Linked DNA regions of Notamacropus eugenii. The protein of the gene in region 1 purifies or fractionates together with the protein of each later gene. This does not show direct contact. Links are inferred from orthologs where the notes say so. Each region holds a gene or a part of one and is shown on either strand. Other genes may lie near its edges. The genes, in order: LARP1 and PABPC4.

Region 1 (16,460 bases):
AAGGAACATCAACTTTGCCAGACAAATGCATGGTGATCCCTTCATTTTCCAATATGAGATTCATAAAACTAAAAATATCAGAATTAGAAGGGATCTTAGAACATAACACATAGTGACCTTTGGGCAAGTCAGTTAACCTCTGAAAGTCTCAGTTTTCTTATTTGTAAAATGAGGAGATTGGATTAGCTGATCTCCAAGGTGTCTTCAGCTCCAAATCTATAATCCTATGATTCCATGTTAAAGCTGACAGGGGCCATAAAACCCCAATTTTTTCAAATCATTCCTTTTTCAGAGAAAATTAAGGCCCAGAGAGAAGAAGGGACTTTTCCAATATGATGTCTTCTGATCCCTAGACCCCTATGGTCCCCTCCTTGAAGTCCATTCTCTAGTATTTCTTTGGTTTGTTTTTTTGGATGATATGCCAATATTCCATTGGATCTGTGATCTCACTGACATGGGCACTTTCAAACGAGAAATAGCTCATCCATATCTGCTCATTCTATGTAATAATCCTTGTCTGTATCCTCCCGTAAATATGCCACTGGGGGTTTGGTAATGGGCTGAGGGCCTTACTCTAGATCTGTTGATATTGTATAGATAATAATGTGACAACTAGGCTATCTTTCAATTGTCCCTTTCTCTTGCTATATGACTGGTTCATTTTTTTCTGTCCATACCCTCTTTCTTCTTCTTTAAATTATATTTAATTTTTTTCAATCAACAAAAATCCGCCTTCTCTTTCTCCTCTCCACCAACGCACTCCTGTTTAAGAACAAAATAAATATGAAATCTCTGTTACTGACATATAGAGTCATGCAAAAAAAAAATTCCTACATAGGCTATCTTCAAAAAAATTTGTCTCATTCTTCACTCTGGGTCTTTCACCTCTCAATCAGGAGGTAGATAACATGTTTTATCATGAGTCTTCTGGAATTGTGGTTGGTCATTACACTTATCAGTTGTTGTTGAATAGTGTCTGACTCTTCATGACCCCATGGCCCATAGCATATCAATACTATTCATGGAGTTTTCTTGGCAAAGATACTAGAGTGGTTTGCCATTTCCTTCTCCAACATTGATCAGAGTTCCTAATTATTTCAAAGTTGTTTATCTTTATCATATTATTGTTTGTGTATAAATTGTTCTCCCAATTCTGTTCATCTCACTTGGCATCAGTTCATATAATGTCATATATGACATCCTTTACATCACTACTTCTGTAAAATTCCTCATTCTTAATGTATTGAAACCCTGCTTGCTCCTTAGGGCGATTCTTGACTTCAGTACTTTGGAGCTTTGGTCTTTAGTGTTCCATTATTACCACAACATTATCAGAAGAATAAGGGTATTTTAAAAAAGGTTTTACTTTCAGGGAAAACTGGGGTCTCTAAAAGCACTAGATAATTTTCCAATGATGATCTTATCCATTCTCCTCCTCTTATTCAATTCTAGGCCCAGCTCATTGTCCATTTGTCATTTCTGTGCAAGATATATATGTACAGATGGACAAGTTTTAGAGATTGTCTATCCACATTTATATCATAATCCAGACAAGTCAGTCTTTATAAAAAATAGTATAATTTTTATCTTTGTGTGTCCAGTGCCTAGTATAGTGACCAGCATGTAATAAGCACTTAATCAATGCTTGTTGATTGATTCAATCAATTCAATTAATACCTTCTTTATGTGGTTTTGTTAAAATAATTTTTATTAATGTTTCATTTTTCTATCACCTAAATTTTCCCTGGAATTCCTCCTTTTCAATTTCCTAGACAGCAATCATTTATATTTTTTGTTAATTCAATAAAAAAAAAGTATGTATTAAATCCCAGATATTTTGCTAAGCCTAGAGATAAAAAGAGAAAAGCATGGTCTCCTCTTCAAGGATCTTCCATTGTAATAGAGGAGATAATATAAAACAACTATGTACATACAAGATATTAAAGAGTATAAATGGGAGGTAATCTCAGAGGGAATGTACTAGTAGCATGGAAGGGGATCAGGAAAGGCCTCTTACAGAAAGTGAGCCTTCCCAAAGCCAAGGAAACTAGAAGGAAGAAGTAAGGAGAGAGCATTGCAGGTATGGGGAGCAGAGAATGAAAAGATACAGTCAGGAGTGGAGGGTTTTGTGTAAGAAGGCCAGGGTTGCTAGATTATAGCGTATACACAGGAAAGAAGAGTGTAAGAAGACTGGAAAGGGAGGAAAGGGACAGGTTGTAAACAAACATTTTATCTTTGTGCTAGAGGAAGAAGGGAATCATTGGAGTTTACTGAGTGTGTGGTTGTGTGTGGGTGTGTGACAAGGTTGGACCTCTACTTTAGAAAGATCAGTGGCAGCTGAGTAGAAAATGGACTGGAGTGGAGAGGGACTTGAAACAAGGAAACCAAACAGAAGGTTATTGCAGTTCATGCTCAAGGGGATGAGGGCTAGTATCAGGGTGGTGGCTGTGGGAGAGGAGAGAAATAGAAGAGATGTTGTAAAGGTAGAGACCACAAGATCAGGCAACAGATTAGATATGTGAGTGAGTGGGAGTGAAAAGTCAAGGATGATAGGAGGTTAGGAGCAACAGTGACTGGGAAGATAGGGTGGTGTTGTGCTCTGAAGAGGTGACTTTGGAAGAAGGGAGACTTAGAGGGGAAAGATAAGGAGTTTTGTTTTGGACACGTAAAATTTGAAATAATTCATCGCTGACTGATTGATTTCCTTACTCTGGGGTTCATGTTCTTCAACTCAGCCAACTGTAAAAAGTCCAAGTCTTTTGGCAGAAGGGATCAGTCCTTTAAAAACAGGATATGCAACAGAATGTCCAAACTGGAAGGGACTTTAGAACCTAAACTGTACAGTTAGAAATGACCTTAGTAGGTAGATCATTGAATAGGTAAAGCACTTGTTAGGTACAGAGAATGAGACAACAAAGAGGGGGGGATGATAAGACAGGTCCCAGCCCTCAAAGAACTTGTCTAGTCCTAGCTTCATCTACTAGTTTTTTCCTAGTGTGGCTAGTGAAGTTGAAGTGATTATTAAATTGATTATTTTAATTAATATAATTATAACTTGATTAATATAAATTATTAAATTGATTATTAAATTCATTTGTAACCAGCTAAGTGTAGCAACTTGGAGTCAGGTAGACTCATGTTCATGAGTTCAAATCTAGCCTCAGACACCTACTAGCTGTGTGACTCCGGGCAAGTCACTTCACCCTGTTTGTCTCAGTGGCTCACCCATAAAATGAGCTGGAGAAGGAAATGGCAAACCACCCCAGTATCTTTGCCCAGAAAACCCCAAATGGGGTCATGAAGAGTTGGATACAAGTGAAAAAATAACACAACAATTAATCTCATATAAGAAGTTTTGCAAAATTCCAAAGCTTTATTTAATTAGCACCTGGGGAACTTCATTATCTATAGGGTCTCCCTCTTCAGTGTGAACTCTGCAATGTAAGTCTTCGGTGATAATGGCAAAAACCTCTGCTGGGAAGACCTCACCTTGTTTTATGTTTCACTTGATATTAATAATCAGAGGGTCCCTGAACAAAGTTATTTCTATTTGAACATACAGTATCCATAAAAGCCAAATATTATTTTGGTGGTATTTGTGTTTGCTGACAAATTGCTAGATTCCTAAAGGTGTTCTAATTAGGCATCTGTCCTCATTCATACCATTGTAGACCATTAGAGCTATAAGGGATCCTGGAGATTATCCAGCCCAACCCCAGTGTCTTATTTGCTAACTAAATCTTGAGCTTCTGGTAGATAAGGCCTTCACTGTATTTTGGGTTAGTGCCTAGCTCACATAGTACTGCATATAAGTAGGCAGTTTGATAGATGAATCAATAAATCAGCCAATAACACAGTGTAAGAGAAAGAGCATTGGCCTAGGAACCAAGGGACCTAGGTTGCAATTTTGGTTTGGTGTGATCCTGACCAAATCACTTAACCTCTCTAAGATACAATTTAAACATCTAGTCACATGGTACTCACATCAGTCCTTCATTCAACAAAAATTTATGGAATGTCCACACAATAAGCACTCAGTAAGGATTTGTTGAACAAATCTAAGGTACTGTGACATATTTTGGGAGCTACAAAGTTGTATTAGAGATAATCCTTGTTTTTAGAAGTATTTAGAATCTAATTGAAGGAAATAGGCATACAGATACACATAACTGTGATACAAGGCATACATTTATTATGATACTAACAAATGCTATATCCTTTTACAAAGTGCTCTACATTTCAGAGGAAGAAAAGATAACTTACAGCTGGATCAGGGAAATCTTCACAGAGAATTTGGCATTTGATCTGGGATTCTTTGAATGATGGGTAAAATTTTATAGGTTTTATTATGCACAAATGGGAGACATTTATTCGGTACAGCTGGGCATCATTGTTTTGAGGATCCAATGAGACAACAGACATTAAAGCTGTTAGAAAGGTATAATGTGCTATGGAAACTGATTATTCATCTATAGATAATATGAAGTGGTAGGAATTACATGTTCAATTGTTTTTAGTCATGTTCAACTTTTTGTGGCTCCATTTGGGGTTTTCTTGGCAAAGACACTGGAGTGGTTTGCCATTTTCTTCTCTAGCTCATTTTACAGATGAGGAAACTGAAGCAACCAGGGTTAAGTGACTTGCCAAGGATCACACATAGTAAGTATCTGAGGCTGAATTTGAACTCAGGTCCTCTGAACTCCAGGCCTAGCCCTCTATCAACTGTGCTACCTAGCTGTCCTTGAATTAGTAGAAAAGCTATAGCTTAAAAGTCTACTATTGTTCTTGTTAGACTAAAAGTCTACTATTATAAGTACAGGAAACATGCCCAGGATTCCTGAATTTCCTCATTAGCAGAATAACAGGGCTGGTCTGTATGAGTTCTAAGGCTGTAACCAACTCTCCCATTTCATGTTCTAAGGTCTCTTTCATCCTCATCCCAGACATTGTATGTTCTAATGCATCTCTTCTCACTTGGAGAACAAAATGTTGCTATGACAAGCTAATGAGGATGCTACGTATATGGAGCACACACAGATTCTTTGTACTCCTGCAGACCAGGGCCTGCACATACACATGCAGTTGTTCCACCAATTCACTTTTCAGGAAACCTGTCTGTCCTTTGGCCCCAGGCTAGCACCAAGGAAAGGCAAAATTGAATCTGTTTTTGCCTTTCTTTTTATCTTGCTATGTGACCTTGAACTAACTTATCACTTTACATCCCTCTTGTCCCTAAGTACTCTCATCTGCAAAATAGAGCATCTCCCTTCTTTTGAAGAGCACAGAGAATAACCAGTAATTAGGACTAAAAATCTCTAGGTCAACAATTCCATGCAATTTGCCAGGGGTTTGTGGCTTTGAGAGATAGCATTTCAGTTTAATTCAATTCAAAATGCATTTATTGAGCACCTCTAAGACAAGCTGACTACCCTCAAAAGGAGATTATAATCTAATAGTTAACACAGTTAAGTATAGTATAGTACAAATTAGAATATAATTGTTTAAGAGGAGTATTTGCTTTGAGATCATAAAGTTTTAGTATTGGACACTAGGACACAAAACATACATGACAGAACACCAGAGCTAGAAGGGATCTTAGAACATTAAAAAAAAAACAACTAACAATCAAAAAACCAAAACCCAGAACATTATAGGAGGAAGAGATCTTTGATATTTATTATCAAGCCAACTCATTCGATTTACAAATTAATAAACTGAGGTCCAGGAAGTTAAATTAATTGCCCATAGTAAAATTAATAAGTGGCAGATCCTGAACTCAAACTCATGTCTACCAACTCTAACTCTTTCTGCTACACAAAAAGGTCTCTAATACCTTCTTGCCTCTTTGAGGTCACCCTTTCTGGTGGTGTTATTCAGTCATATCCAACTCTTCTTGACCCTTTTCTGAGCAAAGAGACTGGAGTGGTTTGTCATTTCTTTCTCTGGCTCATTTTACAGATGAGGAAACTGAGGTAAACAGGATGAAGTGACTTGCCCAGGGTCATCCAGCTACTAAGTGTCCAAGGCCAGATTTGAACTCAGGAAGATGAGTCTTCCTAACTCCAGGCCCAGTCCTCTATCCACTTCCGACACCTAGTTGCTTGTTTCTGGGGCTCCTAAAACATCTTACAGATCTAGTAGCACATGAGATCTGTAAAGCAGACATACATACATCTTTATATCTATCTATCCATATACATACACATATCTAACTTATCTGATACAGCAGAAATGGTACCAGACATGGATTCATGAGATTTGCAATCGCTAATCTGACCTTTGTGTCATTCTAGTTTTATGACCTTATTCAAATCACTTCTCTGAGCTTGTTTCTTCATCTGTAAAATGGGGGTGGCAATACTCACATTACACACCCTGGATGATTGTATAGAACAAAGGAGATAACATACTCATTTCCACGGTGTTGTGGAAATGTAGGCTTTTATTATTAATCAAATCAAAGCTGTGCAGTGCCTTATACATAAAGATGACAAGACAAATGTTTTTGAGTGATTCTGAGCAAATAATTTAGGTCCTTCTTATTACAGAATGGAGTATCGAAAAGGATAGAGTGCTGGGCCTGAAGTCAGGAAGACTCATCTTTGAGTTCAAATCTGACCTAAAACTAGTAGTGTAACCCTGGGTAAGTCACTTAACCCTATTTTCCTGAAGAGAAGGAAATAGCAAACTATGCTAGTAGCTTTGCCAAGAAAATCCCAAATGGGGCCTCAAAGAATAGGGCATGACTGAAATGATTCAACAACAGCAAATATATTAATTAGACAAAATTCTAGGTTTCTCTTACAAACTGAACACCATTAATTTCACATCAAGATCCCTGGATTTGGAGTGAAAACATCTGGATTTAAATGCCAGCTTTGCTACTTACTAGCTGTGTGAGCGATACACACACAAACATATGTAAGTATAATGTATATAACGTATAATGTATAGCATATATAAATATGATACAAAAACATATATGTTCATTAGGGTTCATAAATGTTCACTAATGCTGTTCTAGACTAGAGGAGTCAGTAAAGGCCTTCAGAAAGGAACCAGTGTTTGGTTTTAAGTATCTCAAAAGAGTAGGAAGAAATGCAGCTGGTGAAAAAGGTGCTAGAATGGACTTCCAGGCATATGGAACTTCAGTAAGAAAACTTAGGCTGTTTGGGAAGGACTAAGAATAGTCCGTCTTGGCTGGAGCAAAGCATAAGGTAAATGTCCTGAAAAATTCGGAGGGCCCACAATGTAGAACAATAATACCTCGTATTGATATATTACTTTAAGGTTTGCAAAGCATTTTACAAATCATTTCTCGTTTGCTTCTCCCAATAACCTTGGGAGGTCGGTGTCATTATTAGTTCCAATTTGCAGATGAGAAAACTAAAGCAAAGACAAATGACATGTCCAGAGTCACACAACCAATAAGTGTCTGAGGTCTAATTTGAACTAGGGCCTTCCTGTCCCCAGGCCTCTGCTCTATCCATTTACATCACCAAATACTTCAAATAAGGTTCTTCATGCCAGCAAAGGTATATGAATTGTACTCAGAAGGCAATAGAGGCCACTGGACATTTTATACTGTTGATAGAATAATTTTGCTTTGGGTAGGTGCAGCTGAATCACTATTGACCAAAATTGTTCCAGCGGCCCTTGACTGCTTTCTGAGTAAAGGCCATGTCCCTTTGCCTAGCATTCAAGGCTCTCAGCAATCTGGAACCACACCATCTTTAAGTGACACCATGACTTCTTTCTGTACTGTTATAGTCAGATCCCAGGACTTAGCAACCTTGTATTTTTCCACTTTCTTGCCCATGCCTAGCTTATCCTTCCTCCTTTCCACTGGTGAATTTCTAGCCATCCTTCAAAGCACAACTCAATTACTCTGCATGAAGCCTTCCTTGATCCCAGTAACTATTTTTCCCAGATCTCAAAAGGGCACTGCTTTGCCCCTTTCTTTTGTATTTATCTCATTGCTATCTGTGCTTTTATCTCTCGACTTCCTATTCAACAGCCAATTGCACAGGGGGCTAGACACAGTGTGTCTTAATTACTCTCGGCACCCTCCGTGCCTAGCTCAGTGTTCTGCAAGTAAGTAGATGGTACAATTATTCAGGCTTCCATATGCCAAGGCAGCTTCCTAGCTGCGCAGTCCATGTTGTAAGGTCTCTTCCTGTACTGATTTTCTGCGGCATGCTCTGCTTTTTAAAGGGCATGTCCCCTTTCCCCAAAGATGTGGATTTCCTCTAGCCGGCTGAACTGACGATCAAGAACAATTCTGTAGAGAACGAGAACCTGGTCATTCCCTTGGCTTAGATGATCAGAAGCAGAGAGCATCGCGCTGGCCCACGTGGGTTAGCATTCAAATCTCCCTTCCAAAGGGCACAGGAAGGGCCCTCCCTCCCCGGGGCCCGTTCCCCTGCCCCCGCAGGGTAAGGTCCGTGGCACCAGCAGCCAAGAGGCTGACCTCCGTTGGCTTCCCAAGCGCTTTAACGGAATTCCTCTTCCCTTGGGTCCGTGCTAGCGCAGAAAGCTGCGCGGAGGTTAAGGCACGTGGGGGCAAAGTGGCTCTCCAAGGTCACCAGGCTGGGCAGGGAAGGCCAGGAGCTCTGGGTTTGGGAACGGGGGGAACCCTGCCAGGCCCAAGCAAATTAAGCCAGCAGAGCTCCTGTGAGCCCGGGTGGCGTTCATCAGCACTCTTCCTTCGCAGTTCCATCTTCCACCAACGGCTCTACGGTCCCCCGCCTAAAAAACGAAAGCAAGCCGGCACTGCCGCCGCATGGCCCCAGCTCCATGTGCTCCACCTGCGGCCTTGCTTCCCCAGGCGGGCCCTTTAAGAGAGCCCCGCCCCGCCCCGGCTTCCCCCGCACCCCCTCCCTCCTGCGCTCCCCCTCTCCTTCCACCTTTCCGAATTGCATCAGGCACGTGCTCGCCCCCGTCCCGTCGGAGCCCTCCCCTTCTCCCCACACCCCCACTAGGGAACAGGAGCAGAAAGACTTGGGGGGAGGGAAGGGAGAGAAGGGGGTGGGGACGGAGTCGGGAGTGAGGGGAAGCGAAGCCGTGCGCGCGCGCTCCTCGCCCCCGGTCCCAGGGGCCGGGCCACGGCGCGCGCGCCCCCGCCACCCCGTCCCCGTCCCCGACCGCATCCCCTCCCCTCCCGTCCCAGAGACGCCGCGTTGCGAAGCGCGCCCCCGCCGATCGCGTGGTCTGCTCCTCTCCGCTCCGCTCTCCCCTTCCATATTGCTGCAGCCCAGAGCGGGGAGCCCGGGCTGCCCCCGGGGGGGAAGAGGAGAGGGAGAGGAGTGGGAGAGGCAGCGACTAGAGCCCCCAGGCCTTGAGGGGTGGGGGTGGTGGGGGGAACCTACGACCCCGGGCGAGGAGGCAAGAGAGGGGTTCCCCCCCCCCGCCCCGGCACCGCCGCCGCCGCTCAGGGCCTGGGCTTCTCGGCTGCTCCCTCCGACGGGGAGGGAGGGAGGGGGCCGCGCCCGGCTGTTCGGCTCGAGTCCCCCCTCCCCCAGCACTCCCTTCCTGCTCCGGTCCCCAGGGACTGTGAGGGGGGCAGCCCCTTGAGACAGCCTTCCCAGAGGGGAGAGCGGCCAGGCCGAGCAGCTTCAGGAAAGTTTGAGGCGGCGGCGGGCGAGAGGGGTGGGGGCGAGGCTGCCGCGGCGCCGGCGGGGGCTTCGGTTCGGGGGGGCGGGCGCTCCCATGGCCACCGAGGTGGAGTCGCTCCCGCCCGGCAACCCCCTCCTTCAGGCCGAGGAGCACGGCGGGCTGGTGATGAAGCAGCCGCCGCCGCCGCCGCAGCAGACGCCGCAGCCCGAGGGGAAGGGAGAGCCTCTGGACTGCGGCGACGAAGGCTCCCGGCCCCCTCGGCCGCTCGGCTCGGCCAAGCCTCCCCGGGACGACGGCCCCCCAGCCGAGAGGGAGAGCCTGCAGCTGCCGCCGCCGCCGCCGCCGCCCCGGGGCGAGAGTGACGGCGGCAGCGGCAGCGAGGAGGGCGGCGAGCCGGGCCGCCGGGAGTTCGTCGAGGCCCCCCCGCCCAAGGTGAATCCGTGGACGAAAAACGCGGGCCCGACGGCCTTGGTCACCGTGAACGGACAGTCCCCGCCAGGTGGGTGCCTGCTTCCTCTCTTTCTCGGGTCGTGCTTCCTCGCCGCGCGCGGCCGCAGCGTGGGGGGGGGGGGGGGCGGAGCGGGGACTCCATCATGATTCTCTCTTCCCGGAGGGTCTTGGCAGCCGCCAGCCTCCGGGGTCCTCCCGGGGAGATGGCGCAGGCCCCGGGCGTCTCCCCGGGCTTTGTAGTGGTCCAGGGCCGGACGAGGGCAGGACGGAGCGGCCTTGCCGGGGCCGCAGCAGCTGGCGCGGCGGCGGCGAGGAGCAGGCCTCGAGCCCCGAGGAAAACTACTTTTCTGGTGCCTATGGCCCTTTTCCTCTTCTCGTTCGCCGTCGCCCCACTGAACACTGCCGGCCTGCGGGGGGAGGGAGAAAGAAGAGATTCTCCTGAACCCCGCACCCCAGTTGTCGAGCGTTGCAGCATTGATTGTATTGTAAGCGTGCCCTGGGCAGAACGAGCCGAGTTTAGAGCTACAAATATGGATTCTGGATTTCAAAGTTGTAGAGTGTTTGGTCTCTGGGTTGGTGGATAAGACGACCCCCGACCCGTGCCCTCCTTGGGGGGGATGGGGGGGATTGGAAAAAGCCAACTCTACGTGTCATTGAGGTTATGGTGAGGCACGTGTGTGTGTGTGTGTGTGTGTGTGTGTGTGTGTGTGTGTGTGTGTGATTACTTCAGAGGCTCAGATACGTAATTTTTATAGGCTCTTCTTGGGGCTGGGTCGTGACATACAGAAATATCCTGCCGGGGAGCCGGACTGGAGGGGCGTGGAAATGTGGAGGGGTGGGGTGTGCGTTGGGGGGAGGTGGCGGAGGGCAGTGAAAGTGGGGGCCCTGCCGGGCGGTGCCGGGGTGAGTGACAGGTCGGCGACCGCGGGGCGGCCACGCGGGGCTCGGAGGGATTCGAGGCCCAGTTGCAGGGTTCGATTTTAGAAGGCCGGGCCGGGCGAGGGTGGGGGTGTGTGTGTGTGTGTGTGTGTCTCTCTGTCTCTGTGTGTCTCTGTCTGTCTCAGTGAGCTTCCTCCCCTTCCCAGCATTCCACTGCAGTAAAGACAACGTGGTTTCTCTGCTCTCGCTGCCTGTCTGCCTGCCTGTCGAAAGCTGCATGTGATCGGGGCCAACATCCCCTTGGCTCAGCCCGTCGCTTGTGCCCTCCCCTCATCTCCCCCAGCCTTTGGGGTGGGGTCTCCTCTCCCCACTAGACCGCAGTTAGGAACCGAATTCCGTGAGCTGGGCTGCTGTGTCCCAAGAGGGAAGGAAAAGGGAGGACTGGGCCTGTGCTGGACCAGAAGCTCATGGCCTCGATTTTCACCTTCACCCTCTCCCCCGGGGTGCCTGAGCCGTCCCATTTCGTTTTGGGTTTTTTCCCCCTGGCTCACAACCTATTTAAACAGAGCAGGGTCACTCAGTATTGTATTCTGCTTGGTTCAGAAATGGTGACTGGAAGGGCAGGGACTTACCTCCCACCCCCTTAGTCTTCCTGGCTCTCTCCCATCTAGGATGGTGATAATTCTCCCCTGTTCATAAATCTAGAACAGAAAGTTGAGGGGAAGACCTTAGGGCCTCAGGGAAGTCAAATGGTAGGAGGTAAAAAGCATGCCCTCCTTCAGCTGGCATGAGGCCTTGGCCTGGAGGAAACTGAAAAGCCAGCCCTTAGATCAGAATGTTGCAATGACATTTCTCTTAAGGTTGCTTCATTGGAGGAGGGTTCATTTGGGATTTACTAACAATACCTCAAACTGTGTTTAACCCCCTCCCTTTACAGAGTTTGCTCTTATGCAAAAGGTATTTGGAAACCTCCATTTTCTTTAAGATCATCTCTACCCAGGGGATGAGAGAGAGGGACCTTAAGAGGTTTGGACACATTAAGGTGAAAAGAGATCTAAATGGACTCTCAGAAAGATCACTGAAGGAAAGGGGAATGGTTGGTAGCCATGTGCATCAGACTCCAGGTTGTTTAATGGTGAGGCTGCTTTCTGGATTTTAGATCCCAGTGTGCAACGTCAGATGGCCTACAGGTGCATGTGCTGGCATTTTGTGAAAGCTGATGCCCTCTGAAATGGTGCGTCATCACCATTGTTGACATGGGAAATGTTCGGCCTGGCTCTGGCTTTTCCCCTAACAAGGGGGAAAATAGACATTCCTTTCAAACCAAATCTTGGTCAGATGGGTTTCTGAGCTGTTACCTCTGTCATTGGAATCCCAGTTGTAGTACTGTAGCACTAGTGGAAGCAGTGACACTACTGCAAAATCCTGTCTTTACGCAGAGACAGTTCACTCAGCTTAAAACTAAAACCTTGTTTGGATGCAAAATACCTCCTGGAACCTGGGATTGAGTGGTTTTGAAAATTCTATATTTTGTAGGAGAAAGAAAATGTGATTTGGGTTGGTAGGTAGTATATACCCTTTTTTTTTTTTTTGCATACATGATGTGGTAGACATAGAATAAGAAGATCTGAGTTCAAGCCCTGGCTTTCTTGCCTGTGATAGCTGCGGTACTAGAATTAAATAAAACCCTCTAATCTGAGTTTTATCTGTAAATGTGGAGAATAATATTTGTCTTTCTTGGGGCATGGAGTAGTTGTGAAGAAGGTACTTTGTAAACTGCACTCATGTTGCTCTCAGAATATACTGCCTTGTCTCTCTTTGGTCACATAGGTAATAAGCAGCATATTTTAAGGAAAAAGATGGAGTTCTGGGGTTCTAATTCTGCTGTGTTTCTGACCCACTGTGTCCTTGGGCAAGTCACTGGATGTCTCTGGGCTTGTTTTCCTGAGTTTTTATTAGGATTGGATTTGATTGATTTCTGAGGTGTCCTTCAGACCTAACGCTGATAGAATTTAAATGCAGTTTCATAGATTATTGGGTAAGTTACTGCATTAATACCATTTTCATGTTCTGGCTTTTTGGAAGCTGCAGAACAGAATGCAGACTTGAAGCTGCAAACTTTCCAAAGCTTGCTGTAGAAGCCTGTTTTTATTCACTGGTTTGGCTCTGGTAGTATTTTTGAGGGTACATGCACCCTAAGGAGTAATGAAACATGCTTTAAGGTCAAATACCTGTCTGCAGTTTACTTTCCCATGTAACTGTATCCAGGTTCATTTAAATGTGTAAACTCACCATTATTCACTTTAACTTCTAAAGAGTTGTATTTCTACATCATTTCCTTTACATGAAAAGAAGGAAACCTAGGTTTGAACTTCTGATCCATCACTAACTGCCTTATGACCTTGGGCCAGTCACTTCTCTTCTGGAATCTTTCCTCATGTGTGAAATCAAAGTATACTATCTAAATAAACCTTAAAAATCCTAACACTTAGTTCTGTGAATATTCATTGAAATAGGAAGTGAATTTAGAAGATTGTACCCTAGAAAATAAAATCTGGTCTTGGTTTAACCATCCAAACAGAGGATATGGTTCAGATAACCCAAAGAATTAACTTATTTGGCCTTTGAATCTGTAAAAATAAAGCAATTGACAGTAAATTATTTCTAACATCCTCAATTCTTAGATTTTCTGTTCCAAGTTTTCTTTAGTTCTGACATCTTAAGTACCTTTCCAGTTCTAATGCTTTATTAATATGTGTTCTTAAAGTTGATTTAATTATCTTATACTTAGTAGCCTAGTATCAAAATTAGATTTTGTTCCCTCTCCACGTGCCAAGTTGTGGAGATTCAGAGGGTACTTTGGCGGAATAGAAGAAAGCCAGGCTGAAATTGAGACCTTTCCATGCATATGTTACAGTGACTCCCTATATAGTTAATTTTTGAGAATCCACAGGTGCATCTAGAGACCTTACCTCCGTTCCTCATAATAATTTACAATGTGTATGGTAACACATTGCTTTCCTAAGATGGAGTGTTGTAGCGAAATTGCCTAGTACTATTCCTTTTTTGTAGTTTTCTGTGGTTTACATACTATATCCTAAATGGAACATGAATCTAGATTGGATTACAGCCTCAGCTAAAACTTTTACCCCCTAGTCTAACAAACTCCTCCCCCCTCAAAAAAAAATCTGGACAGCTCCTCTTTTCCCATTTCCCAGAGGTAGGAAATATGATTTTAAACATAACCTCCAATTGTGGTTTAGAAGGCATCAGCTGAACTCATCTCTACTATTGGATTTGGTGCTAAGTTTATGGTAGTCCTTACTCCAAGGATCCATTTAATACCTGGAAACGTTTTGTATGTTTTAGGTGGGTTTTGGTGACTTGACAACATTGCGATATTTGTGTGTGTGTGTGTGTGTGTGTATGTATGTAAATGTGTATATTTGGTATGAACAGGGAGCTGGAACTCCTAATGAGGAATCTTTTGCCAAATGCTGTATTCTGAGCTGTCTTTTCCTCTTTTTACCTTGTCTTCTTCCCCATCCCCAATAAAGCAAAAAGCAGTTGGACTGTAAGATGGCTCAGAAGGCTTCAACCTCATGACAATCTCTCTCTAAGCTCATTTCACATCACCTTGCTAAGGTGGTACAGAATTGGAGAATATTAGAATTATGAGTTTGAAGATCTGAGTTCTAGTTTTGACTCTACTGTAACTCATTGATGTGACCCTGGACAAGTCATTTATCAGCTCTTTGACACTGCCTACCTCTTCAAGTCAAGCTGGACTATTCAAAATCCCCAGAAGACACCTGGTGTTTTCCTGCCTCCCAACCTTACCATTCTTTACCAAGCTCACATGCCCCTTCTTCCATGAAGCTTTCTCTAGTGAATCACAGGATTGTAAATTGCTAACTAGAAACATTTATGGTAAGCTTTACCGAGGTCATCTGGTCTAGTCCTCTCATTTTACACATAATGGGAACTGAGGCCTGGATGTTTTAAGTGACTTGACCTGTGTAAGGTAATGTTACAGAGCTAGGATTTAAAGTCAAGTCTTCTGAATTCAAACATAGTTTTTTCTATACTGCACTGACTAAATCAGAAGAACAATGTGTATGAATCCCACGGTAATATAAGGGGAGACAAGATTGAAAGACTTCAGAATTATGATCAGTGTAGAAAGCAGTCATAAGTTCAGGGGACTGATGGTGAGGCAGGCTTCCTGCCTTTTGGTAGAGAGGTGGTAGACTTCAGGAATGAAATGAAGTATACATTTTTTAGGCATGTCCATTGTTCTTGTTTTGGTTTATATTTAATTTGTTGCAAGGGAAGCATTAGGAAATGATAGATGTAAAAAAAAAAAAAAAGGAAAAGCAAAAATGAAACCTTTAAAAAGGAGGTATAAAACCTTCCCTCATCCCTCCCTTGCCTGCCCCAGGTAGCAGTTTGTGTACCTCTCCTAATTTTGTTTTGGATTCTTATTTAATATATTTATCTAATCTTTGAATCTCCCCCCAACATTAGAGTACCTTCTCTGCACAGAGTAGGTACTTAATAAAATGTTTAAATTGAAGTGGTTGGGCTCATCTCATAATATCTCTTTAATAATTCTAAAAATTGGTAATTTGCTACTTTCTAATCTGTGAAGAGATTGTGTAGTTAAACTTAGTTTGAAATTGGGTATTAGGAAAATAATTTCTATGTGTGAACTTAGTCCAGTTGAAGGAAATCTTTGGCCAGTGTTAACATGTGTGAATTTTGACCAGTCAGTGAATCTGCATACCAACGGGTTCTTTGTTGTATTGGGGTTGGGAGAAGCACTGATTAGGATTACCAGCATTTCATTTGTGATGGTGAACTGTAGTCACTGGAGTTTTTTCTTCTTTATTCCTACCCCTGATAGATCACATTTGTGATATTTTAGGTAGGAGTAAACATTTTACTGTTGCTGTCCTTTAATATCATATCAGTGAATCTGAGCCACAGTGTGTGTAATGAAAAATCGGATTAGAGTCTGGTTCTACTTCCCAACTCTGTCACCTATTGCTTCAGATACCTTGGACAAGTCGTGCTATTTTTGAGCTTTGGTGTCTTTTTAAGCTGTAACATGGAGTCAGACTCTGACCTGCTAAAGTCTCTGCCAGTTTGGAGAATGTGATTTTGTGCTCTTTAAAAAGCCAAGTAAGTAATTCTGGGGGTTATCTACTATATAAAGAATTTAATTTTTTTTAAACCTCAAAACCAGTGTTTGGGGAGGGGAGGGGCTCACACTTAACATTGTGGCAGATTTGAACAGACAAGCAGGGCACAGAGAACTTGGTTTGGTCCTTACAAGTTTGTGTCTAAACCAGGGGTGGGGAATCTGTAGCCTTGAGGCCACATGTGGCCTTCTAGGTCCTCAGGTGTGACCTTTTGACCTAGTTCAAGTTTTACAGAACACATCCTTTTATTGAGTCCCCCCCACCCCTGGGACTGTAAACATTTTGTTTTACAGATGAGGAAACTGAGACCTG
Region 2 (15,683 bases), on another chromosome or scaffold:
TTTGTTACCTGTGCTTCTGTCTCACCCCTATACCACAGTGAGCTCCACGAGGGCAGGGAGCTACACTATTTACAGTTACCAGAAAATGCTTACTCTATCATTTAACTCTCTCTTTTATAAACCCTTTCTTTAAAAGGCCTTTTTGCACAATCCCTTCCCACTTCTAGTCCCTAAGAGGCCCTTGCATGTGTTCTCACCTTATTGGCATCCTCATGTTTCTCAAAACTCACAAAACCAAAGCCTTTGGATTTCCCACTAGAGTCAGTCATCACTTTTACACTCAGAGTTTTACCTGTATGAAGGACAGAGTCATTATCAAAGCAGTCTGTGAAACCAATAAACAAATTCAATACCAAACATTCATGAAGAAGGCTCCTTTAAACTATAGTTTTTAAAGGTGGATATACAGATTTTTTAAACAACCACATGAAGGGATATACTCATTTTCTAATAAGAGAAATGCAAATCATTATTTAACTGCTCACACCTTTCACCCATGCGTGACAGCAAGCAAAACAGGATCTCATGCTGCTTTTGTTTTAGTATAATCAAGTACCTCTGATTGAATCTTGCCTTTATCAATCAAGAGTCTTTACTAGGAGTAGGTATATGTATTTGTATTATTAATTACTTTAATGTGATTAAAGATCTTCCCCTCACCCATTAACAGGCCTGCCCATTAAGGGGAGTTTGATTAGGGAAGATGAGTGGGAAGGCCCTTGCCTTTTGTTAATGAGGCACTGGTTTCTCAAGGGTTGTGACTTGTCTATCTTTGATTTCTCTGAATTTTCTTTGAAGTTCAGGGTGCTGATTCCCCTGAATTAGGTGAATGATATATGTGCTTGGTTAAAGGAATAATACATGAGCTTGATTAAAGTGATGTTAACCCCTCTAAAGTTGCCTTTCCTTTTATGAATGCAGATCTGAGAACCTGTGATAGCAGGGCCCCCTGGGTATGTTGGGTTGCTTACTGACACACCACAATATTAGTTAAAAAAAAAAAAAAGATGAAAATTCAATATTAGCAAGGCTAAGGAACTGTTGTGGGACAGCAGACTTGGTACAAAACATGAACACATCCTTGGATCTAGTAATCCCACTGCTAGGACTTTAAATATCACAAAAAAGGAAATAGAGCAAAATACTGGAAACATTTTATGTGACAGGTAAAATTTAGCAAAATATAACATATAAAAGAATTAGTGATTATGAGACCTTAGGAAATAGGGACTAGAAGGAGAAGGGACTTTTATGAAGTGGTAAGAGTCAGAGGAGCAGAACTGGTCAGAATAAATATCACACAAAAGTGAGAAAGGCATAGACACAAGACAAGGCCTTTTGTTTTGATCTTTGTTAAAACGGAACATATTTATGGATTCAGATTTCATTTAATTTCTTAATTTGAATACTTGAGTTTGTTATGTTTACGTTTTTAATAAAAAAGCACAAAGGAAAAAGAAAGAGTCTAGTCAGCCTTCTTCTTGTAATGAGATTTTGGTCCTGCCTTCAAACCTTCTCATTGCAGACAAGCCCTGCATGGGGTCAAACACAGACCTCACACTCTAATCATAGACTTACCGTATTTGCTGAAAAGTTCCTTCAATCTTTCGTCATCCATGTCATCTCCAAAGTTTTTGATATAAACGTTGGTGAATTCCTTAGCTTTGGCACCCAGTTCTGCTTCCCGTTCTTTCCTTGACTTGAATCTACCAACAAACCTAGAAAGTGAAAAAGGAAATCATTCTGCCAGTGGCAAGTGCCTGATTCAGCGGGTCGCTGCCAGGTATCAATCAGTCTGCACTGGCAGACAAGTCACACAATGATAGTGGCAAGCCTTGGTGTCCCATCAACCTTTATAGCAACAGGGGACACAGCCAGGCTCAGAAAAGTCACCAACAGAACACAACACAACCTGACCCACCTGTCAACTGCACCACAAACCTTTGACTCCATGGGCCAGCACCATCTATCCATACACCCTCCCTACCTGCTATCCCACCAATACCCTCCCCTCCACGCCCATCTCACCAGACAGCAACAACACCTAATTACAGAATGCAAATCTTTAGGGACCCCAGATAGCATTCCCATTTTCATAAAAGAATCATATAAACTGAGGTCCACAAAAGGAAAGTGACTTCTCTGATGGTACCAACGTGACTAATGACAAAGCCAAGTTTTCTAGCTCATTCTACTACACCACAGAGCCAGGGGCCAAGATTATTACCACTACATTTTTAAAAATGTTCCCTTTTATACTTCTTAAATATGTGGAAAACAACCATTTGGGGGAGGAGGGTGCGTTGCTCCTCAGACAGATATATACGTTGCTCCTCAGACAGATATATATGCCAGTTCTCAGTTCATTTGTGTTTCCCACCCTTCTACCCCACCAGGTGTGTGCGAGATGACATGGATGTTCTTATTCATTACAGTCCCAGCTTGGACCTTTTCTTTGCATTTGATATAAACATTAGTGAAGTGCCTGCCCCTTCCTCCTCATCCCTTTGCTTTTAACAGAACATCTCCACCCTAAAATGACCACTCCAAAGTGAGGTCTTTGCTTACAAGACCAACTCCTACAATACAGGGACTGGTGAACACACTTGATTTGTGAGGTTTCAGTTAAAAAAGATTCATTGCAACTAGGCCAGAACTCTTCTTACGATAAAAAGGCCAAGAGCCATAATGTGTAAACAGCCTGAACTTACAGAAAGAGGCATTATTTTCATTAAAAACAAGAATCTGTTTTAAATACACATTTGTGTGTATTTAAAAGTGACCAAAATGGTTCAAGACATCAACATAAACCCAATTCAGAGTGAGCTCAGGGCCCTCATCTAGCCATCCTCTCGTTTTCAGGAGAGGAGAGGCCCACTGATCCCTGTAAGGGAGAGGTAGCAGGCTAAGGCTTGGGCAAGGAGCCCGCCTTGGGCAGGGAGACTCACCAGCCCTGTAGTGGAGAGGTAGGAGGCCACGGCTTGGGCCGAGAGCAACAGTAGCCTTGTGTGTCCCTGTTAATACTGAGATGCACCACGGTTCATGCGATGGTTGTTGCTTCTGGCTGAGACACTCACACTTTTCGGTCGTTGAGAAGCATGCCGTTCATCTTCTCGATGGCCCTATCTGCGGCATCCTGGGTCTCAAAGTGCACAAATGCGTAGCCTTTAGAACCATTCTCATCACACACCACCTAAAAAATACAGGTACCAAATCAGTTACTGCCTTAATTCAACTAACACGGAAGTCCTTAACACAAAGATACCTGTGACCCTTTAAGAGTTTACAGTCTGAGGATGCAGGGATAGAGAAGGTGATAATGTGAGCGTAAGGAAGAGGCAGCAATGCAGCCTCAGGGAGGGCTGTACAAAAGTCAAGATGTTGGTAACTGACTGCATTAAGACGAGGTTAAACATGTAGACAAGAGCTACCTTGTAAGTGCTATTAACTGTCTGTGGAGAGCGTGAATTTTATTTAGAAGTCAATCAGGAGCCTGGGAAGGACTCAGTGTTAAGAGTGGACTATCCCAGGGCTATATTAGATTATCTGAGAAGGTGTGTGAAACAATGACTAGAAGGGAGAAGCCAGAAAGCCAGTCTACAGGGGGATTTGTATCTGTGGGTGAGCTGATATGGGGATGGAGAAGAACTGAAGGACTCTGATGCCATGATCCTTTGAGAATTCAGAGAAATGGAAATGCTCCTTTATTGGGCATTTGTTAAGTTTTATATAAAAACAGTAAAACTGAAGGACCAAAAGTGAACAGAAGTTAGGGAGAAGGCCCAAGCTGGGAGAGGAGGCCTGGAGAAAAGAGTAATTTTCTCTGAGCTGAGCTCAAGGCCTGCAGGATCCAAGTCCATGCAAAGGGCTCTACTGGCTGTGGCCAATGCTTTATCCTTCTTGTATCCCAGGCAGTCTGGGGACCTCTCCTTGCCTTAGACTGTCAGGGTTACCATAAAGAATTACCATTGTATACATCCAGTATTTAATCCTTCTCTCCTTAGATCCATCTAACTGTCAAAGTCATTACCACTACCCTCAGTCTGCCTAAAGACGGCAGACCAGGTCTTCTGACTCCCAGGTGCAGAGTTCTTTTTCATCTAGACAGTGTCTCTTCAAAGACAGACTTGGGAAATTAAGAGTCAGGTTTCTCTAGCCTTTTGAGAAACTTTTAAATTTCATTACACTGCCCTACCATCCCTACTTTTTTTTTTTTTAAATAAAAATTAAAGTTAAGTTCAACTTTGCCTTGGGAATAACCACTACTTACCTTGCAGGACAAGATGTTTCCAAATGCTGAAAAGGTGTCATAAAGTGCCTTGTTGTCTATGGATTTATCCAGGTTTTTAATGAAAACATTCCCAACTCCTGATTTCCTCAATGACGGATCCCGCTGAGACCACATGATACGGATGGGTTTGCCTTTAATTACATCAAAGTTCATGGTATCCAGGGCACGTTCAGCTAGGAAGGAAGAGAGGAGATCCGAGAAAGGACTAAGTGAAAAGGAAGGTTAACTAGTTGGAAACATGGCCATTAGACCAGTCTGTTTTGGAACACCATGACTATTACCGGGTTAGAGGTTCTTAATTAATTTGAAGAAGGGGTCCCTAGGCTTCAGGCTGCCAAGAGGGTCCAAGACACAAAAACATTCCTATTCAATAACGTCCTTGCTAACTTATTGTCCATCTTACCCTAAAGTTATTTCAGAAATCTCATTGGATGGCCTGCTTTTCTGATTAGGAAAGCATCAACAAATTAAGACTAAAAAACTTCAGAGTGATGGTTCTCCAGTAACAGGACCTGGGTAACCCTGCTTTCCCTTTTATAAATGAAGTCAGACTAGGTACTCCTGAGGGTCCTTCCATCTCCATGTCACAGATAATGAAAGAAGCTTCAGGACCCCCTCAAATTCCTGAGGCCTTTTTCAGGCTCATGCTCATTCCCAAGCCAGTCACAACTACCTCCAACTTGTTTCCTCATCTATAGAACTGGACCTAGCTCATCAATCTTCCTAAGGATCCAGTGAGATAGTACGTAAAACACCTCACAAATCTTACAGCTCAGACTTGCTCCACTTTCTAGAGGATCCTCAGACACTTGACGTTCCTTCCACCTCCCAATACCCCTCATTTTTATTTATTGGAAAATTGAGGGCTGTACAACTCCTAATTTTGAAGACTATGCCAGGCATGCAGAACATTGAGACAGTATAGTCCAGGGGATATACAGCAGGATGGGGAGCCTCCCACTGATGCCAGAGCTGGTTTGTGTGGCCTTGATCAGGTGGCCTCCTTGCTCTAGTCCTAGGCAGATAAAATCTTTACAAGCTGCAGAGGTACTGATCTGCACTGCCTGAGTTTCATCCCAATAGCAATGACATCGGAGGGCCCAATAGGACCAAATGAGTTTAGGGAACTCTCCCTAAAGTATCTCTAAAATGGGCAACAAAAGCCAATTAGAATTTTCTCCACTTAAAAGTGGGGAGTGAAGACAAATACACACAAAATCTGGGGCTGATGCTGGGCTAGATATGTACTTAGCCTAAATGCCCAATTTTCTACATCTAGTCCTGGACAATGAGAACATCTGAGCTGGTAAGTCTGAAGAAAAATTCCATTATGTTCTCTATACATTTTAGAAAACACATACCCCAAGTTGCTTTAGGTTTCACAGGGAGAAGAGGCTTGGTAAAGGCACAACTCTGACTAGCTAGAGACTGGGCAAAGTCACTTCTCAGTCTTCAGGAGACTAGTAAAGGGCACTACTGAAGGTATAACAAACACAAGCCTCAACTATCACTAACACAATGACTGACTCCCCTTATTCTCCAGGCACTCTGGCTAATAAAGGTTTTCCTGGGCAAAGAATCAATTTTGATTCTGATCTGACAGCCACAACATAGTTCTTTCTTCAGTACTAGTTCAAGTTAGATCCACACTGTCCCCATTCAATCAGTGTGTCTTCAGAGTATCAAGTTTATTTCAGATAGTTTGAAAATTTCCAGCCAAGAACGTCTCCAATTACAGACACTAAAGTGATCAGAAACCAAATTATCTTATTTTGATTGTTTCAGTTTCTTTCACCAAAAAATCAGACATGCACATTTCCAGTTCTCAAAACCCCTGAATAATCAGTGGGTGCACTTCCAAATTAGTGCTGTGGCCCTAAAAATGCTGAATTCACCATTCATCCCAATGCCATGGTCTAAAAATGCTACTAAGTTCAGAACAGACTCATACTCATTTGCAAACACATATTAAGCAAGGAGGAAAAGGTTTATTTTGCTTTAAAAGTCCTATCTGTCAATTCATCAGCTTTGAATATAAAAACAAGGTCCAAATTATATAAAATTTATCCTTTGCTCCAAAATTACTGACATCTGCTAAGAAAAATTACATTCTCTACCCAATGGTTGCAAAATCCCTACAGGTTCCATTTACGCTGGAGTGGCGTTAGGGACAAACAGAAAAATGAAAATAAAAATGTGTGCAGGAGGGGCAGAAAAAGTCCTGAAGCTCTATTATATATTTGTATTTAGTAATACAATCCCTAGTATAATGTGGGCAACTAATGTAATTGGCACCAAGGGATTTCATTTCAATGATATAAATCAATAACTTTGTAAAACAGAGTTTCAAGAAGGCACTTCTAAAGACAACTCAGTCCAAGTGGGCAGTATTTATTTATAGCAGGGAGAGGACCTGCCCAAGTATGCCTTGGCAAAGACGCAAACCAATAGCTTATGTTATCTGCAACTGAACAGTACTTTTGTTCAAAGGTGACAGGCAGTCTGCAGCTAACACATGTACCAAAGAGAGCATTATTTCCCCTAAAAAGGCCATGTTTAGCCTCTTAGCACTATTTTCCCCAATGTTGTGTGTTTGTACTGGTAGGGTTTAAAATCACACTGTGTTCAAAAAAAGACTACATCTCACTACTGATTAGAGCCCTAAATGAGAAGGCAAAAGCCTGGGTTCTATTTCTACTGTCTTACTCTGACCTTGAATAACTAACATTCTCTGGGCCTCAGGCTCCCAACTGGCTAACTAGGGATATCAGTAACTGAGAACTTGGGAGAGTGCGCTTTCTTGTTGCCAAAGGGACTGATAGGAATTTTAGACTTTCCTTACCTCAAGTTTTAAAACAGTTGCTCAAATAATTTTGGTTTTGTATTATTGCTAATACAACTTTTATAATGTTAAGAACTAGGTCACCTAGTCCAAAGATATCCATTTATAGATAATTCTCTATGGCTACAAAATGCTTTCATATACCCTCTTTCATCTGATGCCCTAAGGTAGGATATAATATTCCCACAGTTTAGGAAACTTGAGACCTGGAGGTTAAGCTAGTGAGTGGCTGGGCTGGGACTGCCCCCAGAGCTGCTACCATCGTGCTTTTCTAGATGATGCTCCATTCCTCCAGACACCCACTGGACAGACAACACCAGCCTTGAGGCATTCTCTCAGAAAGGCTGACCTGCGGACTGTCCCTTTTACCCACCGGGTGAGAGAAAGTGTGGAAGAATTTGGACAACTACCAGTTAACAAACAGGTTACTTCCCCCCTCTGCATAAGAGTTTTTCTGTTCCTGTGTCCAAGACGACGGAAGCTAATTGTGTTCAACTGGTTACACATGTGCCCCAGAAAGGGGGAAGGGGTGTGTGTGCAACCCAAGATGCAGATGGAAATTTTAATCAGCAAAATGGCTGCACCTTCTCCTTACTTCTTTGATTATCGGCAGTTCAAGACCACTGGTTACTTCGCGCTCTCCAAGTGCTCGAGTGCCAGGGTCAGCGTGGGATGGTTCAGTTTCGTTCAAGCATGGTGGACGGGTCAGAAACCCGGCTACTCCTAATCCAGACCTCACTCCCTTGTACTCCATGGCCCACTGAGTCTCAGAACCGGGTAAATCCTCTAGAACGCAGTGGGACTGCACAAGAAGCGCTTGACCAGTGCCACCAAGGGTTTTTAACACAAGTACACAGGGAGGACCCGGTGAGTAACGCTCGGAGCGCTCCACCGCCGGGATGCCAACAGTGCGCGCTACAGACATCACCCTAGCCATGAAGAACCGGGCTCAGGTCTCCCGACTCCAGTCAGCACTGCGGTCACCTACCTGTTAGTTAAACTGCGTTCAATCGTTCGGGCGGCTTTGGGGGAAGCCCCCTGGCACAGTGGAAAGCCTGGGCTCCCAGTCCCCTAACCTCTGAGCCTCCCCAGCTCGGCTGGAACACGACAGCCTTCCTCACCTTACCGACCTGCAAGGGCCTGAAACGAACGCGACTCCCAACAAGCCGCACGGGCGGGCGCCCCGCGGGTCCCCCCGCCACACTCACCATCGGCCGGCTGCTGGAAGTTGACGTAGGCATAGCCCAGGGAGCGCCTGGTGATCATGTCCCTGCAGACCCGGATGGAGAGCACGGGTCCGGCCGGGCTGAACTTCTCGTACAGCATGGCTTCGGTGACGTCCGAGTGCAGGTCACCCACGTACAGGGAGGCCATGGGGTAACTGCTGGCCGCAGTGTTCATCTCCCCGCCCCCCAGCACCCCGAGCCCCGCCAGGAGGACCTCCTTCTGGAACCCAGGCAAGGAGAAAGAGACAAGACTTTTAAATCGCGGCCGGGGCCGGACCTGGGCGGCAGGCGAGGGCCGGGCGGCGGGGCCTCGGGGCCTCGGGCGGCCGCCGTCACGGGGCCCGGCGCTCCGGGCGGGCACCAGGCGCGGCCCTTCCCTCCCAGGACAGCCGGCCCGGCTCGGCTCGGGGCACGCCGCGGTCCGAGGACGCTTCCCGCGGCAGCGGAGCGGAGGCCGGCCCGGGAGCAGCAGCCGCGGCGGCGGCACGCGGGGGAGAAGCCACGTGGGAGAGCGCGGCGGCCCGCGGACGTGGGGAAGGCGCGGAGGGAGGGGGCCGGCACAGGCTCAAGGACACGTGGGGGCCGGGAGGAAAGCGGGGGGCCCGGGCCGGCCACGTGGGGGCCCGGGCGGAACGGAGGAGGAACACGCGGGAGCCGCACACGTGGGGGCCGGGCACGGACGGGCAGAAGAGGACGGCGACGCGCGGGGGCGGGGGCCGGACACGCGGTACCGGAGCGCGGACGGACGGAAGCCACACGCGGGGGCAGGACACGCGGCGGGTGGGCGGAGCGGGGCAAAGGTCTCCTCTCGGCGCCGGGGCTCTCACACCAAGCCCCCGATCCGGCGGCAGCGGTCTCCGCGCGCGTCCGCGTCCGCGTCCGTTCTTCTGCTTTCACTTGGAGGGATTCTTTTTTTTTAGGTATTTTTTTTTAGGGGGGGGGGGGTGGGAGGCCGCGAAGCGCCGAACCTAGGGGCAGGAGCGGAGAGAGAGACAGCCGCGAGGCCGCCGCGCCCCATTTATACCCCCGCCCCGGGAGCGCCGCCGGTCAAAGGGCACGGCGCGCCCCGGGCGGCGCCGTCCGGCCCGCCCCGGCCCAGCCCAGCGCGGCGCAGCGCGGCGCAGCGCAACGCAGCCCCGGCGGCGCGTGCGACCGAGGAGAGCGAGCCTGAGAGCGCGCGAGAGCGGGCGAGAGCCGGCGAGGCGACGAGACAGGCGCGCGGCGGGCCAGAGCGCCCCCCAGCCCCGGAGGACCCGTGCGCCGCGGCCTCCCCTGCCCCGCCCCCACCCTCGCCGCCCGCCTCGCTCTGCGCCGCCGCACGCGGCCGCGGTGGAGGGGGCGGGGCGGGGCCGTTGAAAGACCGTTGGCCAGGCGACGGTTACGGCCCCCTGCTTGGGACGGCCCTCTCCTGGACGTTCTGGACGTCCGAGCCGTCCAAACCTTGCACGTTCATCTGTTAAGTCCTCGTGCAGCTGACTTTGAGCGCCTACTGTATACCGCTTGTCCACGTTCGTTTATTAGGGGCCTGCGCCCGAGACCGAGATGGCGGGTCACCCTTTACTGCGCCCGGAGGCCCGGGTTCCAGTGCCCCAGCCCCTCTCCTCTCGGCGCCCCAAGAAGGTCAAGCCTCCAGCGGTCGGCAGACGTGTGTTAGTTACCTGCTGTATGTCAGGCACTGCCCCAAGTCCAGCGGCTCACAGCCGCTGTGTGCAGCGAGCGGGAGATGAGGGGGAGGCCGCCGGGGGCCTCGGGCTCTCCCTCTGGACGACGGGGAGACGAGATGAAATGGCTTCGGGAAGCGCCTCCTTGGGCCGTGCGGGGGGCGCCGGGCCGGGCGGCCGCGGTGGGGGGGGGAGAGACCCGGGCGGCCGCGGTGGGGGGGGAGAGACCCGGGCGGCCGCGGTGGGGGGCGGGAGACCCGGGAGACCCGGGCGGCCGCGGTGGGGGGCGGGAGAGACCCGGGCGGCCGCGGTGGGGGGGGAAGAGACCCGGGCGGCCGCGGTGGGGGGCGGGAGAGACCCGGGCGGCCGCGGTGGGGGGGGAAGAGACCCGGGCGGCCGCGGTGGGGGGGGAGAGACCCGGGCGGCCGCGGTGGGGGGCGGGAGAGACCCGGGCGGCCGCGGTGGGGGGGGAAGAGACCCGGGCGGCCGCGGTGGGGGGCGGGAGAGACCCGGGCGGCCGCGGTGGGGGGCGGGAGACCCGGGCGGCCGCGGTGGGGGGGGAAGAGACCCGGGCGGCCGCGGTGGGGGGCGGGAGACCCGGGCGGCCGCGGTGGGGGGCGGGAGAGACCCGGGCGGCCGCGGTGGGGGGCGGGAGAGACCCGGGCGGCCGCGGTGGGGGGGGAAGAGACCCGGGCGGCCGCGGTGGGGGGGGAAGAGACCCGGGCGGCCGCGGTGGGGGGGGAAGAGACCCGGGCGGCCGCGGTGGGGGGGGAAGAGACCCGGGCGGCCGCGGTGGGGGGCGGGAGAGACCCGGGCGGCCGCGGTGGGGGGGGAGAGACCCGGGCGGCCGCGGTGGGGGGGGAAGAGACCCGGGCGGCCGCGGTGGGGGGCGGGAGAGACCCGGGCGGCCGCGGTGGGGGGCGGGAGAGACCCGGGCGGCCGCGGTGGGGGGCGGGAGACCCGGGCGGCCGCGGTGGGGGGCGGGAGAGACCCGGGCGGCCGCGGTGGGGGGCGGGAGAGACCCGGGCGGCCGCGGTGGGGGGCGGGAGACCCGGGCGGCCGCGGTGGGGGGCGGGAGAGACCCGGGCGGCCGCGGTGGGGGGGGGGCGCGGCCTACAGTTCGGGGGTGGCACCAGGCCCCGCCGCCGGCCCGAGCGGTCAGGTCCAGAGCGCCCCGAGTCCGCAGAGCTGGCCCTCCCCGGCCTGCCCGTGCCACCTCCCGACCTAGCCGGTGGCATATGCGTGTAGTGTGCGTGTGTGCCCGCATGTAGACGCAGCTGCACTCCTCTGTGTGTTAGACTTTTAGGCTGGATTGTGTGATTATGTCTCATGTACATACAGGCATCATTCCTGAGTTCAAGTCCAGCCTAGCCACGCGGTCCCGGACAAGTCAGGGAACCCCAGTGACGTCATCGGTCCGCCGGCCTTCAGGGGGTTGTGCGTTCGGAATGAGTCCATTTCGTATATATCTAGGCATATATTACGTAACTGATGCATGTGGATACATATAATCACATGCGCGGGGATGCTGAAGATGTTTACACGGCATTCCTGCTTTCCTCCCTCATTGAGCTGCCAGCCTCAGGGGCTCAACGGGCATGGTTTCCTTTCTCGTGCCTGGCACGGGATCTGGTACATAGTGGGTGTTTAATGAATACCTTGTGGGTGGATGTGCCAGAGGCTGGGAAGGTCTCAGCAGCCAAAGTGCTGCCTGTCCTCTGGGGCTACACAGTGTCCTCCAGGTGTGGACTTGGCTTCTTAAGGTGCACAAAGGCCTTTGGCAGCCTTAGGGAGTCATTGCTGAGACTTCGAGGTGGATGAAAAGCCAAGTCCAACCCTGAGACCTAGCGGCACGAAAGGACTTGCTTAAAGCCACACAGCCCGCTGAGTGGCACCTCCAGACTCCAGATACAGGGCTCTTTCCATGATACCAACGTTCTCAGAGTATGGGGGGTCGCCTGATTCCCTCCTAGAGCATTCTCAAGGTCAAAAGTATTGTCCTACTAAGATGTCATTAATCTACTCAAATAATCACCTTCCTTCCCCTGCATTTCCCATTCAAGATCAGTTGCCATGTGGAGTTTGGTCTTCACTTTGCCTCTTGCATCTTATGGCCATCTCTCCACTCTCAAGCCCTCAGCCTTCCCACTGGGCCATGATACTGGCCTCAACTGGTCTCCCTAGTTCAGTTTGGCATGTAGCAGCCAAAATAATGTTCCTGAGCTGTGGCACCAAAATCCTGAGAGGCTCTGGAGGTAAAGCCTAGGATAAAAGACTCCTTGGGCTGGGTCTGTGATTCAGTCCCCTCCAGGACCTTGCTCCTACCTACGCTTCTGGCTTCATTTCCCCACTGGTGCCTTCATTTACTCTGAATTCTGACCATACTGGACCACTAGCCCTTCCCCAAATTTGATGCGTTTGTCTCACGCCTCTGTGCATTTGTGAGAGCTATTCCCATGGTGGGAAGGTACTCCTCCAGAGAGGCTTTCCCCTTGGTCTTCCAGAACCCTCCTCGTTTTTCCAAGGTTCAGCCCAGACATGGCCTCTTTTGGCAAATCTTTCCCAATCTCCCGTTGGCTGAAAGAGCCGTTCTGGCCTTCACATCTTCCGAAAGGTTTGTGTTTGGATCTTTCTTTTTCCATTATGTCCCACTTTGTGGAATGTCAGCTTCCTGAAGGAAGGAATTGTATCACTTTCCCTGTAACCCTAGGGTCTCCCATAGTGCCTTGCACATAGAGGGTGTTTAATAAAAGCTTATGACACTTTTGGAAATGAGAAGGGAAGGGGGCCAGATTAAGGAGGCCCTGGTAACAACTCTGCTCTGTTTTGTATGTGGGAATGTTAATTTTATTTGGTTCATTTCAGAATTAAAAATAAAGAAAAACTTTAAAAAGTAGCTTAGGCTCAGAAGCTGCTTCTCCAAACCTTACTTGGCATTGGCACTGATCCTTAGAGTGCCTATATCTTGCCCTGTCAAGGTTCTAGAGGTAACTGAGGGGCTGAATGAGGTGATTCTCCTAATACTGGAGATACTGGTCTCCCTGCCAGTATGTACCCACCCAGCATCACTTGGCCAGCTCTCTCTGCAATGTTATCTAATCAGTGATTAGATCAAATACTGGGACTCAGAGTCAAGAAGGTGAGTTCAAGTCCAGTCTTAAGATACTTACCTAGCTATGTGACCCTAGACAAGTCACTTAACCTGTGTACCTGAGTTTCTTCACCATTCAGAGGGGATAATCAAAATACTAGCTTTCCAGGATTGTTGTAAAGATCAAATGAAGTCATATTGTAAAGCACTTTGTAAATCTTAAAAGCCATATAAATGCTATCAGTGAATCAATTAACATTTATTAAGAACCTGTGCTAATAGGTAGTAGTATCATTAGGGCCGTGTTCCCTGGATGATGCCACCTTACTTCCCCGTCCTTCTTCCTCTTTTCTCGTTGCCCCCTTCTCCCATTGGAGAGCTCCTTTCTAAAACTTCATTTGGAGGAAAAGCCAGAGCAGCTAATCCATGACTGAGGATTTCACTAACAAGTTCTCCCCCTAGTGCCTTCCCCTCCCCTTCCCTAAACTTTTCTGCGGTCCGCTCACATTTTAATGTAAACTGCTTGAGTACAGGGACTTCATTTTTGCCTTGTCTTTGTGCCCCCAGTATAGCCCGGAGCCTGGCACTTATTAAGCTCTTAATAAATGCTTTTTGGCTTGACTTAAATATTAATTCATTCTAAATTCTCCTCAATATTATTGATAACCAGTTAAAATTCACTTTAACAAAGAGATGTTTACTGGAAACAAAAAGTGAGACCCCAATAACAAAAAGGTATCCCACAACTAGAGCAGTCTCAGTCTGGAAAGAGAGTGGACTCCAATGTAAATTGACTGCCACAAACACTCCTCCACCATCAGTGAAACGCAGCCGAGAGCTGATTCTCTCCCTTCCGGGAAGGACTTGACATCTCAGGTGCTGGTCTAGCCACGGTTACTCCTCAGAGCTGGATCTTTTCCAGCCTCAACTGCTGACCTGGCAGACCCCGCTATGGACTCCAGATGCTGGATCTCCCCCATAAAGCCCAGTCGCTGAGCCTCTACTACAGTTAGGGGGTCAGAAGGTTTTGACCTGGTCACTCTTGTTACGTCCCCAGTTCTTCCTCATCTACAAAACAAACACGAACCAAAGAAACAAAAGGTTCCAGGTGTTGGGGGTGGAGAGTGGGAGAAGCATTGAGGGAGGGAGCCTGAGGCCTTTCTCCCCACCTGGAGGTGTATACAAGTTCTTCCTCCACTACACCCGACAGCCATGTGGGAAGAAAGAGAAATTCTGTAACTTGGTGCCTTTTGTCTTGACTCATTTCCAGCACTACAGTCGGTTCACAGACCCAGCGTCCAAATGCCGTAAGCAGATAAGAAACTATCAATCCATTTCTCCACAGCTGTCCAAGTGACATTCCTAAAGCAGAGGTTTGATCACATCACCCACCTCAGAAAGGAACAGTGGCTCCCTATTGCCTCTAGAGTAAAGCAAAATTCCTCTGACATTTACCTCAAGTCCATAGTAATCTGGCCCCAACATATCTTTCCAGATTGATTCCAAATTACTGTACTTTGTGTATTCTCTTTAATGCAAACTGACCTTCTTTCTATTCCCTGCACATAATATCTCATTTCCCACCTCCATGCCTTTGCATAAAACTGTGTGGAAGCATAGTGAAAACTGCCTTCTGAGTTTATCTGGAAATTTCTTTCAAGTGCCCTTTTCAGACTTTTGGAAAGGAAAATGTTGGGGGCACAGGTGGGACAGCTCTCGAGTCAGGAGGACCTGAGTTCAAATGTGACCTGAGACTCTTACTATCTGTGTGACCCTAGGCAAGTCACTAAACCCCAACTGCCTCTTAAAAAAAAAAGAAAGAAGGGTGGTGTTAGGGTGAGATAAACGAACAAAAATTTTTTATTAGAAAATAAACTGACCTTTACAATCCTGCCTTTTTCTCTTCACTCCCCCTCCCCTTTCCAGCCAGAAGCAATTGATTATAGATAAATCTAAAGACCTTACCTGAGGACTAGCACCAGCCCACCTGCTCTCTTCAGAGGCAAAGGATTAAGATAAAAATGATTGGGACGACGTCTCTGTTTAACTCCCAGAGCAAAGGAGGGGAGTGGTCAGTAAGGAATGGGATAGAGACTTGGGTGCTCAATTCTGGAATGTTAACCCAGACTATGTTTTGAGATAAATTTTCCTAGTTTAAGATTCTTATAAATACTACCTGAAGTCTTCTTGGCAGAGTCACAGCAGAGGTCATGGAGAACATCTCTTTCCAAGCTAGAAATGTCTTAGATTAAATTAGTATTATAGATGAAGTTTAATTAAATAAAATTGTTTTTGGCTGATCTGAACCTAAACCATGTGTCTGGTATCAGTCTTAATTCTTCCACAGCTGTCAACCCCATTCCTGGCATGCTTTTCCTCATCACTTTCTCTTTTTTTTATTCTTAATTTTAAAAAATTTTTATTTTCAGTTCCAAAATCTCTCCCTCTCCCCCCACCCATTGAGAAGGCAAGAAACACATTCTCATTATACACAGGAAATCATGCAAAGTATTTCCATAGTAGCCATGTTGGGGAAGGAAAAGCAAGAAAAATGAAGTGCAAAAAACCCTGT

What was found.
Region 2: the proteins of LARP1 (region 1) and PABPC4 purify together in Homo sapiens (affinity purification with mass spectrometry; 3 studies listed by BioGRID and IntAct, with this or other methods). This does not show direct contact. The link is inferred for Notamacropus eugenii from reciprocal best matches to the Homo sapiens genes LARP1 and PABPC4.

Annotation. Positions count from the first base shown.
Region 1 is NC_092872.1:383,102,543-383,119,002, forward strand, and holds the start of LARP1 (la-related protein 1), read left to right. Parts: upstream 1-9,661; 5' UTR 9,662-9,708; coding exon 9,709-10,114; intron 10,115-16,460. UniProt on the Homo sapiens protein: RNA-binding protein that regulates the translation of specific target mRNA species downstream of the mTORC1 complex, in function of growth signals and nutrient availability.
Region 2 is NC_092876.1:79,544,671-79,560,353, reverse strand, and holds the start of PABPC4 (polyadenylate-binding protein 4), read right to left. Parts: upstream 8,679-15,683; 5' UTR 8,535-8,678; coding exon 8,342-8,534; intron 4,465-8,341; coding exon 4,271-4,464; intron 3,194-4,270; coding exon 3,078-3,193; intron 1,719-3,077; coding exon 1,579-1,718; intron 293-1,578; coding exon 198-292; intron 1-197.